Caenorhabditis elegans: one gene and its partners. The protein of the gene in region 2 interacts with the protein of the main gene of each other region in a biochemical or structural test. Each region holds a gene or a part of one and is shown on either strand. Other genes may lie near its edges. The genes, in order: flp-13, npr-22, flp-7 and flp-11.

Region 1 (4,983 bases), 860 kb from region 2:
TCACTATCTACTCGTTTACCTTTTCATTTGTATTCTGGGTCTTTTGGTGCATCCGATGATATACTGCATACTGCTTTTTGATATAATTTTCACAGAGGAGACACTTCAAAATGTGATTGCTTCGGTTACAAGGAACTATCAATCAATCGTTTGGACTGGATTACTTGCTCTGATTCTTCTTTACTTTTTCTCCATATTGGGATTCTTGTATTTCAGGCATGGTAAGTTGTTTTGGTTTCAATTAAGTTCCCAAATATTTTCTAAAACTTTCAGATTTCTATTTGGAAGTTGATCCAGTTGAAAATGATTCATCTGCAACAATTTCATCCGGAATACCATCAGAAACGTGCCCATCAGAAGGATGCCCAGGATTACAACCATCAGAAAAAGATGACAATGATGATGAGAAGAAAGTAAAATCTTGTGAAACATTATGGATGTGTATACTTCAAACTGGATATCAAGGACTTCGTAACGGTGGAGGAATTGGTGATGTACTCAGGAATCCAGCTCCATGGGAAGATATGTTCATATGGAGAGTTGCTTATGATATGACTTTCTTTGTTGTTCTTATCGTTATTGTTCTCAATTTGATTTTCGGAGTCATCATCGACACATTCGGAGATTTGAGAGCCGAGAAAAACGAGAAAGAACAAATTTTGAAAAACAACTGTTTCATTTGTGGATTAGATAGATCTCGTTTTGACAACCGATCAGTGACTTTTGAAACACATCGAGAAACGGAGCACAATATTTGGCATTATTTGTATTACATTGTGATGCTCCAAATTAAGGATGAAACTGAGTTCACAGGACCCGAAAGCTACGTGGCACAATGTGTTAAAGATCGGAATTTGGACTGGTTCCCAAGAATGCAGGCATTGTCGTTACAAGATTCAGAATTAGACACAGATCAATCGGAAGTTAAACAAATGAAGGATCAGTTGTTGCAGGTAAACTATTTGACTACTTCTAATCTTAAAATCTTTTTAAAATGCTTTAAATTTCAGATGATGACCCTTATGCGAGAGATCATCAGTCAAAATGAAGAATCTCGGGCTTTCATGGAACAATTTCAGCCTCGTTAGACCTACTGAAAATAGATTTATTGGATAGATTTTTATTTGTTTCTTTTTCCAAAACCCATATTTATAACCCTGTGATTGTTTTCCCTTTTCTCGTCACAAAACCTGTTTAGTCGTTTTCAAAACCGGTATTTCAATGTTTTTTTTTACCTGTCTTCAACGTATTTTTATTTTTTCGTCTTTATCTAAGTTTGATTTTCAAATAAAATAATTTTGCTTGAAAGTATTAACAACCGGATAGAACAATTCATTTTTGTGAATTCAAGACGTCGAAGAAGAAGATGAAGAAATGCATGAGTAGAGCCAAAATGAAAATGAACATTGGTTGGGGGAAGAAGAGTGTTTGGGGAAAAGACAGTGAAGGAAGGAAATAGGTGTAGACACACAATCGTCGACTAAATGAGATCCAAAATGAACCACAAACACACACACACACAAAGAAAGATCAAAAAGTGAATTTATTTTCTGCCAAAACGAATGAGAGGAGCTGATGAAGCACGTCCGAAGCGAATAAGTGGAGCAGCTGCAGATCGGCCAAAACGGATGAGTGGTACGGCTGATGGAGAACGTCCGAAACGGATCAATGGAGCTGATGGAGATGCTCTTTTGCCAAATCTGATGAATGGAGAAGCTTCTGGAGCACGGCCAAATCTAGAAATGAAGTACAGATATCACGATGGTTTTCTAATGCAGGTTATGTATTTTGGATTGCTATTGAAACGGTAACTTTGAGGAGTTAAAAACAAAACTGTTGCACTTCAATTCAATAATCAGGAATAGGAAAAATATTGAATTTTTATATCTTGAATTTCAAAAGTGGCGTAGACAAATTTTAGGCAATCTTAATTTTTTTGAAATATTGAAAAGACTGACAGTTAAATGGGATTATGCAATTTGCCGTTATAGAAGTTAAAACTGTTTCTTCTATTCGGAAGCAGCTGTGGGAGTATAATTTTTAAGAAGGGTTGAAAGTTACCTGATCAAAGGAGCCCCATCGGCAGCTCTCTTTCCAAAACGAATGAACGGAGATGCTTCTGGAGCACGACCAAATCTGATGAGTGGTGCTCCATCAGCAGCTCTTTTGCCAAAACGGATCAGTGGAGAATCCATTGCACGAGTCGGTCGATCACTTCGTTTTGAGTTTTCGAGAAATTGAAAGAAGGGATTCTTCGTGTCATCTGAAATAGACATTTGTTTTCGGATATTGAATTTCGTTCAGAGTTCAGATATTTATGTTTTTTATTTAGAAAATAAATTAGATAGCTTTAAAAAACATTTGTTTACGATTCAGATTTCATCAAGTCCTAATGACTTCTGAGAATTCTACAGACTCTAATTTTTAAGTCAGGAGAAATGGATCCATCTGGATTAAAGACATTTTTTTCTGTGTACTACAAACTTCAAGAATACGAAATGAAGATAGCCAAGTTTTTTTTAACTATAGTTTTGATCAAAGTATGTTCAAAAGTAATTTGTACTTGAAATACTTTAAAAAACATATAACATTTCAATCCAGTTCTCAATGAGTATAAGCTTGTTCTAAAAAGTTCTAAAACAATATAAAAACAACAAACACTCACATTGTTCATCGAGCATTCGAATTTCCGACGAATCAAAGGCCTGAATGGCGACGACGAACATTGAGATAGTGAGCAGTGACGTCATCATGTTCGAATCGGAACGGGGCCGAGTTTGAGGGTGTCTGGAAATTGAGGAATCCCTACAAGATAATAATAGATGATAGTAGTCACAGTGGGAGGCGTTGGAAGAGAGAAAAACTTCAAAATAAGACAGGAAATGAATGAGCAAGATTTAAGCTTTTAATCCTAAAAGATGCATGATTTTGCAACTGACCTCCTAATTCCTGATGGCCAATAACTACTACAACTTTTAAAAAGTGTTGTTCAATATTTGTAGAGTACTTTTATAGTCAAAAGGTGAAGACAGAAAATGCGCGCCTACTTCTCGATTTTAATCAGATTTACGCAAGAAATAGAAACAAAATAAAAGAATGGAGGAGGGAAATGCGTAAATGTGACAAGTCAACTGGAATCTGAACAGATGTGTCTCGAGAGTTCGAGAAGATATTCAAAGAAATCAGAATACGTTGTAAATGTCATTATGTTAACATCAACATCACACTTCGGAACTGATAATATTGGAGTTCAAAAGATGTAGTCCAAGTCGCGAAATCGTTTAAAAAATATCATGGTACATGTTTTTAAAAGGTGTCAGAATTTATTTTTAATTGCAATCAAAAAAAAGTAGCGATTACTCAGATTTTGCCAACCATAATCGAAACCGGGCGACTTTTACTTTTATAATCTAATTATGTTTTCACGATTTATACAGGGTGGGCCAAAAGTATGGTAACACATGAAGCGTTCTTTTACATGAGCTTTTCGCGCGACTGCCACGTCATACGCACATTCTTCTATCAAACACTGATAGCTGAATAAATTTCCTTCAATTTGACTCAAAATTTGTAATGTTTCCCAATAAGGTGCGATCTTTATCACCTCGAAAATTTGGCGAACCCTTTCGAAAAAACGGTAATTTGGCACGCGGCACTTCCCACACAAACACACCTCCCACGCACGCCAATAATTTTCAGATGTATGATTTTTATGTTAAATTTAAAGTTAAAGAAGTGAAGAAGCGTTTTTGATTGTTTTTGTAGCATACAAAAATTTTCTGTGTCGACACTGGCGCCAGAACCTTTGAATTTTTCATGAATTCAACTTTGCGAAATTTACTCAGTTTTTTTGGTTTCGCAAGGCGTAACGACCCACAAAATCATTCGAGCTCAATTTTCTAAAAAAATTCTGGAAAGTCAGGTCAAAACGTCTCGAAAAATACTAAAATGAATTTTTCTGCATACTGCTACTCGCCGCTCACATCCATCTTTCTGGCGACTATGCCATTCAAGACTTAACCTACTGCCGCAGTCCATGACAGAAATACCGTGATAGAAATTATTTGGATTTTTGTTTTTAAAAAATCTCTAGACCAAGAGCATTCTTTGAACTATAAAAACTTGTAAGACACTTGATGGATTCCTTGAGAAAAATGTAGAAATCCCGCAGAATGCCGACTTGCGTGCCATAAAGGTCGTGATCTCAAAAGTTCTGAAGGCCTGCAGCGATGCGGATGGGAATATTTTGAAAATTCAAAACGTTCATCTGGTCAGTATTTTATGGAGAACAAACCTTGTACAAATTGATGTAATAACTCTCTCCACTAGTAAAGTTATAGAGCTGCAAACGTGTTACCATACTTTTGGCCCACCCTGTATTTAAATGTAGCAAGGATTGAACAGTGTTCTAGTGTTCTGAATTCCTCAGAAACGCTCCATAGGTTTCGTATATTTGGCAATTTACTAAGATATTGACTGCATTAAAAAAAAATACAAGAATGAATTTGTTTTGACACAAAATGCCGACTAAAATGCTACTACAGTTTTAATTAATAAACGGCTAGTTAGAAAAAATTGAGATTCAGTGTTATTTTCTCATTTTCATGATTTTCTGAAAATTGTTACATTGATATCTAAAATTTCAGTTTCAAAATGACCTATTTAAATGGGGTTAAAGAAAAAAGCGGTTGCAAGTCTGAACATTTTGACTGCAACAAGTGAAATAATGATGTTTTATATCAAATAAATTATAGTCCGTAAGAACACAAATTATGTTCCACCTCCACTTTTTTATTCCCAAATTATCATCATATATCACATTTGATCATGATTAAATTTTCGCGGAGCATAAAAATAATCTGATTGTAGTTCACCCACTTTCTTCCAAAAAAAAAGTAAACGTCAATATAAAAAACATAAAGGATCTTCTTAAAAATAAAAAAGAGATCAAGTTTCGGCGGGAGGACCGCCCACCTTCCGCCA
Region 2 (7,180 bases):
GTCTTGAACGGTGGTATTGAAGCATTCAAACTTGCCCAAGGTGTCGTTCAATCCGGTGAGAGCATGATCTCATCTGGAAACTATGAAGCTAAATCGGTCGACAACAACATTCTTGCCAAGATGGCTGATATTCCATTCGATAACTTGGCTAGTATCAAGTACTTGGATGCTCGTTCGAAGGAAGAGTTTATCGGAAAAGTTCCAATTGGATATCCAGACTCGAAAGCCGAAGGTGTTCGTTGCAAGGATGCGATTCACTTCCCAATCGGAGAAGTTTGTGCTGCCAAGGGATTCAAGAAGAAGACTGATTGTGATCAAGGTTAGTTGATATCATTTGCAGAAGTTAACTGAATACTTCCAGCCTTCGCCGCCAAGGGAATCAAAGTCGGAGACACCGTTGTCATTGGTTGCGGAATCGGACTCTCAGCTTCAGCTATTTGGCTCGCGGCTGCTCGTTCCGGAATCGTTGCCAAGCTGTACAATGGAGGAGTCCACGAGTTGGCTTACAAGGCGCCACAACATCTCAACACAAAGGGATAAGTGACAATCATTTCTGATTTATTTCTGCATACAACAAGTCGCTGACGGTGTTTTGTGTTTTTTGGTTTTCATATGCTTTACTTTTGTGAAGTGTATGAGAAAATTGAAGAATAAAGATTGAATGAAAATGCATAAAAATTGTTCACTTTGATTGTTTTCTTGTCTGTTTTCTGGAGTGACTATATACTTTAAATATAAGTGTCTGCCTATCAAGACTGCTTATTTCATTTTTCTTTAATAAAATACTTGCATACAATTCACGGAAAATGCATCCCTTCTAAAAATAGACAAATGCCGAATCTCTGTAAATAAACCTTCACACGTGGAACTACAAGCTTGAAACCGAAATCAATCAAATATTTATCTGAATTGCTCAGTAATTTGCCAGTTTACAAAATTTCAGTCAACTCATTGGATTCTTTTAAATCTGTCAGATGTAAATTTGTAGTATTCTAACATTTATTTCTACATTTAGTTTTGAAAAAATATTCAAATAAAATGAAAACACGCAATTTGTATGGTACAAGTTTAAAATATTGGTGATGATTCGTGGATTTGGTGGGGCGAGTATTTACCGGTATGAAAAGCGTTTCAGACAACAATTGATGTTTCATATAAAATTGTTTCTTAGGAGATCTGAGGGGTTTTTTCTTACAATACAATAAAATGGATGGAATATAAACATAATTTGTGAAATTATGCTTTAAAATACAATTTCAAATAACAAAAACCTTGAATCTATGGTCTTCTATAGCTTTCCACTCAAGTACATGGTAGATCAATTTTCTTAATGATACGGGAAAAGCTACGCGAGAGAATTGGCAGAGTTGTTTCGGACGACGACGAGTGGTCGGGCTTCGAAGAAACGTGCCGAACGACATGTTTGCCTGTCAAGGACTCCACTTCGTGAATATCTCGTAAGCGATGTCTGAAAATATTGAAAATTAGGTTGTGGCTAGGAAGAAAGTCGATGTTGTGGAAATAATCAGATTGGAAAATGTGTACTAGGCAGTGGATATAATTGAGGCGTTTAATTAATAAAAAGGGTTTAGAAGTAAAGCATTTGAATTTAAAAACTGTTTTTAAAGTTTTACTTACAAGTTCTTATGGTTCTAGGTTTCGCTAAACTTCATCGGCAAACACTTTCTCAGTAGTAGGGGTTTTCCCTCTATCATTTGGTGGCAAAATTTAGTTCGCAGTTAATTCGCGACAGGCACATAATGACTCAGTAAACAAGCACAATGATTTCATAGCAATCCTGGCTCAATGTGCTCATTATAGGCAGCTTACGAGTCGCAGTATGCGCAATGTCCGATTTTTTTGACGATGTGTAGATAAATCACTGCTCTAGGATTCTGATGGGTCCATCGCAAATTAACTGCGCTGAACGACCTAGGCTGACTTAGAAGATTTTTAATTTTGCTAATTTAACGTACCGTATTTCCTCTCTTAGTAATGCACCGGACAACTTTACTTTGTAACGTTATATATCGGTTTATTTTGAATATATCATTATATCTTTAACTACGAAATTATAGAAAAAGAACTAAAAAATATTTTGTTAGTTGACAATTTTTAAATGGAACAAATGATAACTGAGATATACACTGTCAAAGTTGAACAATGGTGTGCAATACTAAAAGAGGAAATACGATATACTCATAATTTAAAATGAAATTAACTTAATCAACATATTAGTGCATGTGAAGCAGTGCAAAATAAACTTTAAAATGTAAAAATAAAAAAGCCAAGCCAAACAAAAAGTCAAGAAGGACAAAAAACATGGGTTAGAGAACATCCTTACAGCAGGTTTTTCATCGCTTGAAGTCGGATTTATGACACCAGAAAACCGTGAACGGTTTCGAAAACTGAATGATATTGTTGAGTTATTAAAATTATCAAACTGGTTATCAACAAATAAGGTTGATACATAAATAAACTGAATTGCTCCTAACTCTTGGCTTCAATTCAAAAACAGACAACTTTGTAGAAATTGACATACCTTCTGCTAGTATTATCAGTTAAAAGACGAAGTTCTTTAAATGATATACATGGAAGAAGTTTTGAAGAGAAGAAACAGAATCCTTCACGGAAACGGGCATTTCGAATGAAATAGATAATTGGGTTGACCATTGAATGAGACATGGCAAGTCCATGAGCAAACCACCTCAAAATGCGATTTTTAAAACCAAATTATTGAGTCAGATTAAAAGAATATTTCTTACCACAAATACAGAATATATCCCCAACTGTTGATATCTGGATAGAATTCTGGAATGACGTTGATCAGTATAAGTAAAGGAAGCCAACAAAGTGCGAAGAGTGCCGAAATGAGAATCACCATTGGGACCAGCTAAAAATCTTATTTAATTAACAGGTTTCGTTTCTCACGCGGTAATATTTATTGTATTTGATAAAAATAAGTAAAAACGATATTTCAATCTACTGAACAACTTTATCAAACCGTCATGTAATAGGCAGGTAAAATGTAATAACTTCGAACTTTGATTTAATTTTTTTCAATTTTAAAGTTTCACTTAATAATGATTTGGAAAAGGTTATGTCAAAAACGATTTTTGATTATTATTTTTATGCTACACATGAGAATATTGTTCCTATAAATATAGGGGTCGGTTGACTTTGATTATGGTTATTATTATCATCACCGCACTGAGGAGCCATTGATTGTTGCATTATTTCCATATTCTTATTATTCTAATAAATCAAAACTGGGAGTTTTTGAAAGGTTAGGCTTAAATTTTTAATAATTCCAGAAATCTCACCTTTTTGACACTTTCATGTCGATCAACGATCATTTTCTTTGTTGCTCCATTCTGCATTCCTGGTACTCGACTATTCCACATTTTAATTCCAATATGTGTGTAAGTTATTATTAAAACTGCTTGAGGTACAACATATTGTAGAATTAAGACCATTGAAGAATACACTTTTCTCACTTGTTCTCCAGAATCTCCAAAATACGTCCAATTTTCTCCACAATTCGGTAAACCGTCTTGGTCTTCGAAAAATCTCGTTGTGAAGAGTAACGGCAACGCCATTAGGATACTGAATATCCACGTGGCAGCTACCAGATAAAGAGCTCTTCGTCTTGTAATTCGAATATTTGGAGTTAAAAGGAACATTATAGCCATCCACCGATCAAAACTGATAACGACAAGTGTCCAAGCTGATAAAAATACAGCCATTGCTTGAAGGAATGCTAATAAAGAGCACATCATTGAGCCGAAGAGCCAACGTTGATCATCATAAATCAATACTTGCCAATAGCTGAACGGAATGCAGAATACTGATATGAGAAGATCAGCTGCAATTTTAGTTGTTTTTTTGGGAAATTTGCTCAACATCTTAGATTAATTAATTTTTTAAACTTATCCATTTAGAAGCTCATATAAGTTCTGGAGATTTGAAAAATTATAAAAAGTTTTCAAAAATTCAAAAGTAACAAAACCCACCAACTGCCAAGTTCAATATCAAAATATTAGTCGCCGTTCGAAGTCGTTTAAAATAAACAATAACCAGAATAACGAGCACATTTCCATAGACACAGCATACGCAAAGTATACTATAGAAAAGAATACATAACATCTGTAAAAAATTAGTAATAAATAGGTACAAATATTAAAGGTAATAATGTAGTAATTTTATTCATTTTTTACACTTAAAATGGCCTCTAAAAATTATACCGAATTTTAATAATGATAGCACTTGAAAAATTTTCAAAACTTTTTATTTACGGTTCAAGTTTTGAAGAAAACGCTATCATAAATTAACTAAAATAAAAGTACATGGCACGTTAAAATCAATTTTCAGCAGGTAAAATTGGCTAAAAACATGGCCAAATTGCCTAAATATGAAATGTAAAAAAAACTAATTTTAGTTCCTTTTTTCAAAGTTTCAAAACTCTTGTAAAATTTGGATTTTTAGATATACTTTGAATGTATAAGAATATTTTTTAAAAGTCTCACCTTCATACTTGGTGTCAAATGATAAATATGATTCATTTCTTGAACAGCTGGATTTTCAGTTGTCGTCGGTTCGTTTCGCATCATAATTTCAGAGGCTGTCGTCGTGATTCTGGAGAGCAAACTGCTTCCAATACCCCCTCCTTCGTCCATATTTGCTCACGAATTAGATGACGAATCGTTCGATCTGAAATTTAAAACAATTTATTCGGAAAGAGTTTGGGGAAGTGTTCCAAATAAGGAAGACCACTTGTTCATAGAAAACCGAAAATTAAAAACAAAGAAAAAGAGAACATATTTCGGAGAAATAAATGAATATGAAGAAACCAAGAATGTATTTTCTCGCACATTTTTTAGATCAGAAATGTTGAAAGAGAAACCTTCAAATTTATGAGAATGTAGGAGAAGGATAATATTAAGAAAGTGTATCAAATTTTGTTGTTTGAAATTGATTAAAAAGTAAATTTCTATAAAGTGAAAAATTATATAAACGAAGAAGGTCAATTAGCAGTTGGAAAAATAAGGCAAAGATCAAACAAGATTTTTTTGTGATTCTTGGGTTTTCGGAAGCAAAGTATGAGAGAATTAGAGGAACATAGGATGCTCGCAATGATATTTGGATGTTTGTTGACCTCGAAAAATGACTATAGTCTTTGCGGTTTTGTAGAAAAAAAAATATAATGTTTCCGAATCCAGAAAATTTGTTAAAAGTGTGGTATATTCGAAAAATAATTCTTTTGGGAAAGTCCAGTGGGAATTAAAAAAATATATGGCAAAAGTATAGGGAAGGGAAAAACTTGAAGAACTATCCTATTTTTCGCACAAGGATGATTGGGGAATGATTACAAAATGCAGAAGTGATAGTTTTTGATTAATAAATAGGTACATTGTAACCGAAAAATCCAGAAGGTAGGCTGCTAATATCTGTTTTCGAAATCAAAATTAATAAGATGATTTCATCTGAAAATGTGGCAAACTTTCTTGAAATCTGCCATGTTTAAATAGTGATATAGTGATAGTAGTATCTAGTGATCTGTAGTGGTCCCATTTTGACACATGATCCATCAATTTCAATGAGAAAGGTCAAATCAGCCAGACATGTGTTGTATTAGTTTACAAATGAACTTTGCAAGATAACAGGAATTTATGGAAGAAAAATGTTGGAAAAATGCGTGTCTACCGAAGTTTTAGACATGAGTAATATGATCATACGATAGAGTACAAGTACAATATGAATACTTGAATAAAGTACAAACTTTTATTGCAGGGTTAGAGCACGTGCTAAAACTTGAGAAACTTGAACAAAATCAAGTAAAAGAAAATTGTTACAGATTCTTTAAACCGAAGTTTTCCAATTGTATTGTGCTAATTGTATGTTCCAATAAAGAAACTCTAGCTAACTGTTAATTATAAAAATTTAAGATTTTGGATACGCGATTGGTTTCTAGAATTTAATCGAATGAAAGATTACCGTCGTTTTATCGTATTCTTCAACACTATATCTCAATAATTTTAGCTGAATTTAATTCTTATTTGTCTATTTTTTTGTAGAAAAAACTATTGACCAGATAGGACAAAAAAAAACTGAAATTTATTAAAATATGTCTAAAATATGTTTCAATGATGTTATAATCAGGAAATGATAAGGTAGACCTCAGTACATATGACACCTTTCACGTTATTAGCAAGAATGTACATAGATATCTCAAGATTCAGATAGATTACGTCATCACGGCATGAAAATGTCTCAAATGTACATCTCAATTAGCATAAAAATAATTTCTAGAATTTCTGAAAGAAAAAGGAGAAGTATATAAAAATAGGAATAAGAACACCACATCCTTGCAAAATGAATAATAAATAATAAATAATTAATATTGAGTCAACAGAAATGTGTCTGGATGTAGTGCGATGTTGTGAAAAAAACAAGATAAAGTTGACTGAAAATAAGAAAACATTCATGTCAAGTAAGCTTCAAAACTTTGGAAAAGTCTTCGCTTTTTGGAAGTCGTCTATGGCAAAAAGTGGCAAAAACTCAGTAATTGCCACTTTTAAACTGTCAATAAAAATTTTCACACTTTTTATTTTGAAAAGTTGTATTTGAACATTTTGGCATCATAGGAATGGTTTTTGACAACTTCTCCACATCCACCTTCAAAAAAGAAAAAAAGATAAACATTTATAATCAATTCTCCGAACTTAAAATTTATTTTGTTTTACTTCACTCTTGTTTCATTCACAATCAGGTTTCAAACATTACAAGACAGATTCAGAAAGCTGTTGAATAATTTTTAAAAAAGTTCAAAACCCAAGTGCATTCTGCTCAAAAAAAACTTTCGAAATTCAATGAAGAGCAAAATTAATGATATTTTTATTTGTGATGGCGTTTTCTACGTGCATATACTAGTTAGAAGAACCACAACTTTTACTCAAAAAATACTAGTCAAAAACTGGAATTCAGAAATAATTCATCCGACTTTTTCACTTTTTTCACACGGATTTCTGTCAGTCTGCAAGACATTTTCAATAGAATATTTGTTAACGGAAGAGCATAATTGATTACGGTCCATTGGCCAAGAGAAGATATATAGGTCAAAAGTTAGGATGCGGTCAAGAGAACTATGGGGGTGGGGTACTCTACTATTAAGCTTCAGAAT
Region 3 (4,674 bases), on a different chromosome or scaffold from region 2:
TGATACATTTTTGCAAAAAATTAGTAAAATTTTTTTCGGTGAAAACTTAAGAAGAAAATTCAGTCTTTACAAATTTTTTGAAAACGAATAATTAAAAAGAAGAAAATCATTAAATTTTTATAAACTATATGCACCGCTTTTTGATTCACAATTCAACATTTCCAAATATTTTTTTAAAGTTTTATTATGGTGCTTGGTCTTTATAGAACCATAAAACTTATTTTTTTCATTCCCCCTCAGCTCGTACTGGATGATAATCTGTTGAACATAGTTTGTGTGGTTAAAATAAACAGCAAAATAAAATAAACAGCAAAAAAAAATTTATGTGAAAAATTGTATGGCTAAAACAAGGAGAATTGTTCAAAATTTCTCAAAATTTCCAATATCTGATTATTTGCCAAAATTTTTTTTTTAATCTGAGGCATCCTCTATCCCAATATAACTTTAGATAATACTCCTTCTAGTTTTGTTCCGTTTGAGGTTTCCGATCATTTTGATATTATTACAACTTCCCGTCTGTTCTGACTATTACTAATAAAAAGTTATCTGACATAATATAAACAACTGCAAAAAAAATTAACCCATTCCAGAAAATTATATCGAAAAATTTACCATTGTCGGTTTGAAATTTATTAGATTTAGGCTTTCTCAATAAACCTCTATTATCCAAATACGTATATTTCTGATTTTCAGGAAAACGAGCGGGTGACCATGACCAAAAAGCTCTGTATGATTTATTGCCGTAGGGATTGAGAAGCCTTTACAATGTTAATAATCATTTTGGATTATTTTCTGAAAAGTTCAACTTAACTCATACGACGCTCTCCTAGGAGAGTCGATGCACTTTGAAATAAAGTTAACAACTTTTAACGTTATAGGGAAAGGCGCGAGATCAGGCTTTTCTGTAGCTGGGCAGGTTTGATCATATTTGAATACTGCAGCGAATGAGTGGACATGAAACCAGGCTCGGGACACAATGCTTTATGGCGCGAAACTAGTCCAAAAAGCAAAAAATGTACATTGTTTTTAATCAACTTACCAGACTCACCGTATTAGCCATTCTGAACAATTTTCCTGTTTTTTATAGTTTTATTTTTTTGAAATCCTCTCATCCTTTGCATTGCATGAATTTAAGATGAAGGACTGGAAAACAGGCGTCGGTTCTTTATTTTGCAAATCGCAAATTAATTTTGATACACTGGAGTATTTGGGTAGCGACCAATCTGTACTATTAGTCAAGTGGCACAAAAATAATTGTCAAAAAAAAATACATAAATGAAAAAGGTAAGAATAGGCCGTAGAACGAGATTAAACTACAATGTGAGACCGTTTTGTTCTTGGTAATCAAGGTGTTTGCATGTACTTGTTTATTCGCTGTCCTCGATGTTCTTCTCGTTTGATTGCATCTCAAATTCCATCGAACGTTTGCCAAAACGGACCATCGATGATCTCTGCATTGGTGTCCGTTTTCCGAGTCTGAACTTCAGCTTTATTCACAAAATACTTTTCACGTCAATACGTACCGAACCATAGAAGCGCGATCAATTGATGATCTACCAAATCGGACCATTTTCGATCGGTCCATAGGTGATCTTCCAAAGCGAACCATAGCCGAACGCTCCATCGGTGAACGTTTTCCAAAACGCACCATTGAAGATCGTTGCATTGGCGACCGTTTTCCAAAGCGAACCATTGAGGACCTTTGCATTGGCGAACGCTTTCCGAATCTAACCATGGATGAGCGTTGCATTGGTGACCGTCCGAACCGAACCATTGATGAGCGTTGCATTGGAGTACGCTTTTGCTCGTCAATTCTAAAAGTGCATAGTGTGAGAATAAAGTTTTTTCTGAATAATAACAACTCACAAGTCCTCCTCTGAGAGTTGCTCTCCTGACTTCTCGAGTCTGAAAAATATAAAAAATAGAAAAAATAGGAGTTCATTCAGAATAATAAAATAAATTTATTCACTCAACAAATCACGACAACAAGAACAACATAATATCAATAAATCTCAACTCACTCAGTTGGTTCTTGAACTTGTTGTTCGGCTGATTCCTCGGCCAATACCAAAACTAGGAGACCAAGAGCAAGAAGAAGGAAGCGGGATCCAAGCATTTCTAAAAGTCTTTGAATGAAAACGAGATGGTATTTTTCGATGACGTCATGTTTCCAAACATGACGCGGAGTGGTTTAAAAATTGAAATTTCAATCGAGAAAAAATGAGGAGAAAAGTTGAAAAGTCAAAAAAAAGAACCCTTCTTTGAGTGTTGGCAGAGGGAAATTCAATTTGTAACTTGAACTGCAAATTGGATTCAAGATTGAGTGGATTGCACAAGACCAAGCAACAGTAATCAAAAAATTTGTATTTGACAATTTACTGAAAAGAAAACTGATGACGGGGCAAAATAATCACAATCAGAAACGCAATAGAAGCTGCTATCCATACTTATATACGCTTTCATATTCCTGAGCTCGAGAAAGGCTCATGCTCCACCCCCTTCTTCTCATGCCTTCTAACCTTGTCTGATGCTATGACTCCGCCTTCGTCCAAACAAAAACTGGAAATCGGAACAAGGAGAAAAAATAACACCAAAAAAAAAAAAAATCAAAATTAGGTTGGAATCCATTGAGATGGTTGGCTATTTTTGCTAAAGACGCATTAGCCCGATTAAAAAAATCCAAGTTCACAGAGCAATCAAAGTGAATTATACGGATCTTGGGACACTTCATTATTCACGCGGTCCATCTCTGTTTGATTGTGTCGGGTATTTTAGGATACTAGCAAGCACTCTCCAGAAGAGCAAAGAGAAAGATGTTTGAAACCTTTTGAGCGGTCAGTTGAGAATTTAGGAGGAAGTGTTAGAAGAAGGCAAAAATAAAAATTAATTCAACAAATAAGTTTCCAAAAATTTTGTATGTATTACTTAGACACAAAGTTATCCGTACTGATGTACGTTGAAATTTCAATTTATAAATTTAGGTATTATTAAAACTATTATCAGGCTCTTCAACCTATAAAAAAGTCATTTTGGAGCCTGAAAAAAAATTATAAAATATATTATGTTTAATTGAAATGAATAAATGAATGAAAGTTCAATTTATTTTTAAACGGGGGTTGTGATGCACAAACACATATTTATCTAGTCCTTTTTATGTAAAATATTATAAGAGTCGCATAACAAAAATAATTTTAAGTACATTACAATACAGCTTCAAGATTAAGAAAATCAAAAAATGACGTTTTTTTTCAATTGTGGATACTGAAGTTTTTTAAGTTCAATTTTGTTCAAAAACTAGTTTAAAATAAAAAAAAAGAAATTTCGGTCAGTTTTTCTTTTGATCATTGATTGTGAAATGTAGAGTTTAAAATAGTTTCAGATAAAAAACTTAAGTACAATAACAGGTCTTGACACGAGTTTTCAATAAATAATGTAAAACATACTTTTTGCTCTTTTTCAAAGTATGTTAAAAATTGTTGAAACCAAGTACCATATCTATAAAACATGTGGTTTTGTGAATCTGGGTGATATGTCATATTACGTATGTACACTTATTGTAGATGCGTTTGAGTATTTTTGCAAAACCCTTTCAAAAACATTCCATAAGTATTTTATAGAATCACCTGTGCATTTAATTTCAAACGTTTCCTCAATTATCGTAACTCGAGCAAAAGATGTGAGAGATGCCAGAAGAGAAGCTGCTATTTCATAGAACTCTAAGTTTTTGAACTACTTTAAGTAACTTTTCCAGACACAACCAAGCTATTAACTTTGTTCACAATAAATGAAAACACGTGGGCCAACAATTCCGAAAAAATTGAAAATTTATACGGCGAGTTGTAAGTCTTTGTAAAATGACGAAGAAAACTTACAACTAATGTTACCGATATAATCTTAAGTCTACGTCAAAACGGAAATTAAGTCGCTGCTGCAATGAAATTAAGAATTCTAGAAAAATTGAAGGCGGAAAAGTTGAAAAGTTGAAAGTTTTTGTCAGTTTCCACACGTAATTTCTAGTTTATGAAACTACAATTGTTAAATCATTTTGACACTTTGATCACATGGTTATATAGGCTCCAATTTTGCTTTTTGTTTCGCTCCAAGAAACTTTCAGCTCTCGCATCACTATAAATGATCATGAATTTATTCAAGCAACACTAATAAATAAACATAGAAAATATGCCTTATCAGAATTCGCTGTTCTTTGACCGTATTCAAGGTTTTTTTTTCGCTAGAAACATGTATGATTAAATTTGTTTAACATTAATCGACGTAGTAGTTTTTAATAAGGGTAAAAAATTTATTCCGATTTCTTAGAAAATTACTTTGTTTTATTTTTCGTGGCAACATGTACTCCCAAAATAAATTGATTTATAGCTAACAGCGAGGGTTTTTTGGAGAACTCCTGGAAAAGCGGGTTAAAGAAAAATGAGCAACAAAAATCAGAAAAAAAATAAAAAAGAAAAGAATGAAGATGAACACTTGACAGTTGAAAAATTGTTTTGAGATGTTGGAGATTTGATTTTCATATTTTCATAGTTCGCCATCAAAATGTCAAGCTTTTAGATTTTATTTTTAGTTTTTATAGTGAGAAATCAAAATATTTTTCTGTGCGTAAAGCTTTCTAAATTCTAGAAAAACGTTTGGCACTTGAAATATCTTTCCGAAGTGCAC
Region 4 (4,154 bases), on a different chromosome or scaffold from region 2:
GCAACTTTTCGCGACTGGTTAAGAAACTAGCGACTTTAATTTCAACTAAACTTTATTTATTAAATTTTAGAATCTAGTAAATAGTTTTTTCAGTATAAATTTACTTACTCTCAAACAATTCTAGGCTACTCGATGCTCTTTAAATCGGGTTAAATACGTTCCTCCGGTGCTCAATAATGTATTTTCTGCTGGTTTGGCATCAGTTGCAATGGCCTTCTATCCCACTGTCAGTATTGCTATGTATTGTCTCTGGAAAGCAATTGAGGTATGATATTTTGCTCCTCGTTTAAATTTCCTAGCTGCAAACAGCGTAAGCTTCTAAAAATAAAGCTCTGAAACAAAGAAGATGTGAATTTTGATGAGCTGCTCGACCGGGGTGGAATCCCAAATGTGAAAGGCGGGCTTCCATGGTGATATCCTGACGACAGCGAGGTGATCAGCGCCAACTCCCTTCATGACATTTTTTCAGACGGTATATTTCGATCTAGTTGATCGAGGTTATTTGCCAAAATTCAAAAATGGAGAAGTAATTCTTTACGCAATCACGACGGGTTACGTTTTATGGAACGCTGTTGTTGAACCTAGAGCAATTCGAAGAGGATACCTCAACTTTCTTTTTGGACTTGTTGGTGGAAAGTAAGGATCTAACTAGCTGTAACAACTTGACTTTTTCATTGCAGGATCTCGCTTTTCAATCGACGTCTCTACGATCATTTTGGCTTTGTTTCTCGAGATGTTTACACGAAAATTCCAGAATTCGATCCTAAATATGCAATGATTAATCCTATGCTTTACATGCCACTTGTTGAATAGTTTTTGATCTAATATTTGAAAAAAAACAGGTGTAATATAAAAAAAATAAATTTAATTTTTAATTTGAATTTTCCGATTCAGATTTTAGAATTTAATTTTCTTTTGTTCACTATCTGAAAATGTGAAAAAAATAAACAAAGTGATTTTGCGAGTAATTAACAACGCCTTTATTGTTCATAGACAGAGCATAGAAATATCAGAAAATGTGTGTTGTTAGCTGATAAAAAACACCAAAAGAGATCTGGGGAGATAACTTTCCTTCGGAGGGAAAGGGGGGTTAAGCGACACCAATCAAATTCTAGACAGCAAGAGAGAGTATGAAAAAAGAGAGTGTGAGAGAGAAAAACATATGATTTTTAATGATGAATTCGCCTCAGGAGTTGTTCGAGCAGAAGACGGTCGTCCTCGGTCATTACTTGTTGTTGGCGAACTTGAGCTTCTGAAGAGTCGACAAAAGGTCGTGCATGTGGTCGAGTTGACCGGATCGGCCAAAGCGAACTGCAAAGCAAAATAAACGACACATGAAGCAAAGGCAAAAAGCGGAAGAAAAATTTTAAGACAACTTACCAAATGGTTGTGGGGCACCGTTCCGTTTTCCCTGGAGTGGGCTCTCTGGAGCAAAGTCTTCCTCGTCCAATGGAGACCTCTTTCCGAATCTAACGAGAGCATTTCTCATTCCACCACTAGCTCTTCCAAATCGAACCAAGGCGTTCCGCATGGCACGTTTCTCCGCACTACAATAGATTTATATGGGTAATTGATAAAAATTGTTTTAAGAAAAAACTATACCTGACGTCATCATAAGATTGAGCAAAAGAAGCGGCAACGAAGACAATAAGGAGAAGTGCCAATGCAGAGAATTGAGTCATTATTCAGTATGAACTGCAAAAAGTGAGACGAGCGGCTAGGCGCAGTCTTTTTATACCTGAAACGATGTATTAGGAGGGGGCGTTGTAGATTCCGAAGAGAAAGCAAATAGCCGCAGGACATACTTTATTACTATTTACAAATGGTTTGATGAGTTTTGAACGTTTTAATGAAAAATTTGCGAAATGGATTCTTCTCAAGGAAACTTCTTATGGAAAATAGGATGATGTCAATGGTTTCCAAAACGAAACCGAAGTGTAGGGTGTCTTTGGGCTTTTCAAAAGCAAGAAGTGAATAGATCAAATGCAGGTGTTCTGCGCTCTGAAACGTTCCACAGGCCACGCCTACTTGTGTGTGTGTGTGTGTGAGGAAACTGAGAAAAACGCAAGCAAAAAAGTCATCTTGAAAATAGCATTAAATTTCGGAAAGGAAGGAAAAGCTAGTTTTGCTTTTTTTAATAATGGAAAAAGTACTACAAAATGTGTACAATATTTTGTGAATATTTTGAGGACGCTTGTTCTAGTGTTCTTGAATTTTTAATTTAGAATTGTTATGAAGTTTTTATTCATTTCCAACAGATGCAGAGATTTTCTATACAGAAAACATTCTAATAATTATAATGTATATTTAAAAATTAAAACTTGCAAAAAAATTTCTTGAAAATTTACCAATTTGCCAAAACTTTAATTGAAAATTGTTGTAAAATTTGAAAAAGTTTGAAGTGTTTTATTAATACGTGTCTGGTTTTTTGGAAACATTTTACTTGGTCCAGCACTTTAACTGGCACTTCTCCCAATAAAAGATCGGTTTATTTCCAAAATGCGTGCCTAACTGTTATACCAAACAAATAAAGTTTTTTAAAAATCGGCAGTTGCCGCAAATTTCGCATTGTGTGCCGATGTGCCAAAATTGCCAGAATTTTTGATAATTTTTAATTTTCATCATATTTCAAAAATTAAAAATATATCAAAACTTGATTCAAAGTCATAATCAATAGGTCATTTTCTTACTGAAATACCTAATATTTTGAGGTTTATTGTTTAGCTAAATCACCAGTTCCGGCAATTGTTGGACTATAAACTTTTGGCAATATGCCGAAACTGCCGAAATTTCGACGCACTCCTGTTTACAGAAGATTGAAAAAAAGCAGAATTAGAAGTTTTAAAGTTGAGATATTGGTCAGAAAATCGATTTCATTTTTACGAAAAAAATATTCCAAAAAGTCACAATGGAAAGTTTGAAAAATGACCCGTATTTATATATTCGTGTGTCCTTGTTTGACATGAAACCTTCTTATCGTTTTTCAATCTCCCCCACTTTTGCACTTTTTTGAAAATCTTTCTTTACAAGAAGACGCACCTTGCAAAAAGTGCGCTCAAACACTGATTATGCCAAGCGAAACATGGGTGTGAAACTAGAAAAATAAATTAGATGCAAAATGGATTCGTCTATGCTTTTTCCTCAAATATTAAATGAGTTTACATCACTTGGCGCCGGGATTCGAACATCATAAATTTATGAGTTAGAAGATGCCCACGAAGGTAAGATGCGGAAATATTTGACACGTCAGCAGGTTGTTAAGTTTCGTCGTCACAGTTTTGCATCTTTTCGTATTTTAACTTATATTTTATAATCTTATATTCAATGGAGTGTGGGTGTTTGTGGGTGGAACCAGGATTGAGGATGCTAAAAGTTGTGGGGGAATTACTCTTAACAGATTGAAAAATGAAGTGCGAAAAGATATGAGGAACTCTACTGGAACTGATGGGCCATAAAACCATGAAAACCTCTCTCACCCCATTCATCAACTTTAGAGGCTCAACATTTGGAAAAAAAAGGTTTGGGCTTTTGGGATACTTGTTTTTCTTTCTCCAGATCTTTCCAACTTTGGGGAACTAGTAAGCCACAATGGTTTCATAGAACTTGATGAATAGTCAGAGGGAACAATGAAACCTACAATGAATCGAACATCAAATGAAACTTGATATGAATAAATGATAAGATCACTAGTGGAACGGAAACTGGAATTAAAGCCTAGACCAACTTACATCATCTTTTTTCATTTTTCAGTCTGAGCACAATGTTATTCCTTTTTCAAAAATTGCAACAAGAGACCAGACAAAACACTTATTGAACCTAAGGAAATGATTGAAATTTTTTTTCGGGACTGGAAACAACTAAAATTTATGAAAACAAAGAGCATCTTGGATGCTAGTTATTTTGAGATGCTAGTTATTTTGAAAATTCTAGGTTTCATTCCAAAAAAGATAATCTCATTTTCTGTTAAATTTAAAAGCTTAGATTTTTACATGTATTTCAATGGCGAGCTTTAAAATAAATTCTCCTAAAAAAAAAAAAAAAGTTGGATCCGAATTTGGCAAAACAGACTGATAATCATCATAAATTGAACAACACTTGGACCGAATGTGAGCTGCAAAAAAAGTTTGGAGCAATTTTGTGCTCACTTTAAGCTT

Evidence for each region.
Region 1: of the proteins of npr-22 (region 2) and flp-13, one has a biochemical effect on the other in vitro, tested with the Caenorhabditis elegans proteins (one study listed by BioGRID).
Region 3: of the proteins of npr-22 (region 2) and flp-7, one has a biochemical effect on the other in vitro, tested with the Caenorhabditis elegans proteins (one study listed by BioGRID).
Region 4: of the proteins of npr-22 (region 2) and flp-11, one has a biochemical effect on the other in vitro, tested with the Caenorhabditis elegans proteins (2 studies listed by BioGRID, with this or other methods).

Annotation. Positions count from the first base shown.
Region 1 is NC_003282.8:7,695,616-7,700,598, forward strand, and holds flp-13 (SPSAVPLIRF-amide), read right to left. Parts: upstream 2,806-4,983; 5' UTR 2,754-2,805; coding exon 2,666-2,753; intron 2,264-2,665; coding exon 2,062-2,263; intron 1,737-2,061; coding exon 1,544-1,736; 3' UTR 1,314-1,543; downstream 1-1,313. Other genes in the region: Inositol 1,4,5-trisphosphate receptor itr-1, read left to right, coding at 1-221, 274-953, 1,011-1,088. UniProt on the Caenorhabditis elegans protein: Probable FMRFamide-like neuropeptides. Binds to neuronal receptors such as dmsr-1 to promote sleep in response to cellular stress also known as stress-induced sleep (SIS).
Region 2 is NC_003282.8:8,556,964-8,564,143, reverse strand, and holds npr-22 (Neuropeptide receptor 22), read right to left. Parts: upstream 4,713-7,180; 5' UTR 4,677-4,712; coding exon 4,527-4,676; intron 4,147-4,526; coding exon 4,014-4,146; intron 3,866-4,013; coding exon 3,324-3,865; intron 2,894-3,323; coding exon 2,766-2,893; intron 2,708-2,765; coding exon 2,543-2,707; intron 2,409-2,542; coding exon 2,345-2,408; intron 1,469-2,344; coding exon 1,346-1,468; coding exon of another isoform or gene 1,303-1,345; 3' UTR 983-1,302; downstream 1-982. Other genes in the region: mpst-6 (thiosulfate sulfurtransferase), read left to right, coding at 1-319, 362-540. UniProt on the Caenorhabditis elegans protein: Receptor for the LURY-1-1 and LURY-1-2 peptides which control food-related processes including feeding, lifespan, egg-laying and roaming behavior. Receptor for flp-7 which stimulates serotonin-induced fat loss.
Region 3 is NC_003284.9:5,883,309-5,887,982, reverse strand, and holds flp-7 (TPMQRSSMVRF-amide 2), read right to left. Parts: upstream 2,119-4,674; 5' UTR 2,117-2,118; coding exon 2,022-2,116; intron 1,906-2,021; coding exon 1,867-1,905; intron 1,815-1,866; coding exon 1,524-1,814; intron 1,477-1,523; coding exon 1,368-1,476; 3' UTR 1,150-1,367; downstream 1-1,149. UniProt on the Caenorhabditis elegans protein: FMRFamide-like neuropeptides. Stimulates serotonin-induced fat loss by binding to and activating the npr-22 receptor which leads to induction of the atgl-1 lipase and subsequent fat loss.
Region 4 is NC_003284.9:4,676,385-4,680,538, forward strand, and holds flp-11 (SPLDEEDFAPESPLQ-amide), read right to left. Parts: upstream 1,739-4,154; 5' UTR 1,683-1,738; coding exon 1,603-1,682; intron 1,548-1,602; coding exon 1,381-1,547; coding exon of another isoform or gene 1,367-1,380; exon of another isoform or gene 1,312-1,366; coding exon 1,226-1,311; coding exon of another isoform or gene 1,170-1,225; 3' UTR 950-1,169; downstream 1-949. Other genes in the region: tmem-135 (Transmembrane protein 135 homolog), read left to right, coding at 125-265, 470-636, 681-813. UniProt on the Caenorhabditis elegans protein: FMRFamides and FMRFamide-like peptides are neuropeptides. Induces sleep-like quiescence behavior following release from RIS interneuron. Helps to sustain locomotion stop after gamma-aminobutyric acid (GABA) induces fast slowing response.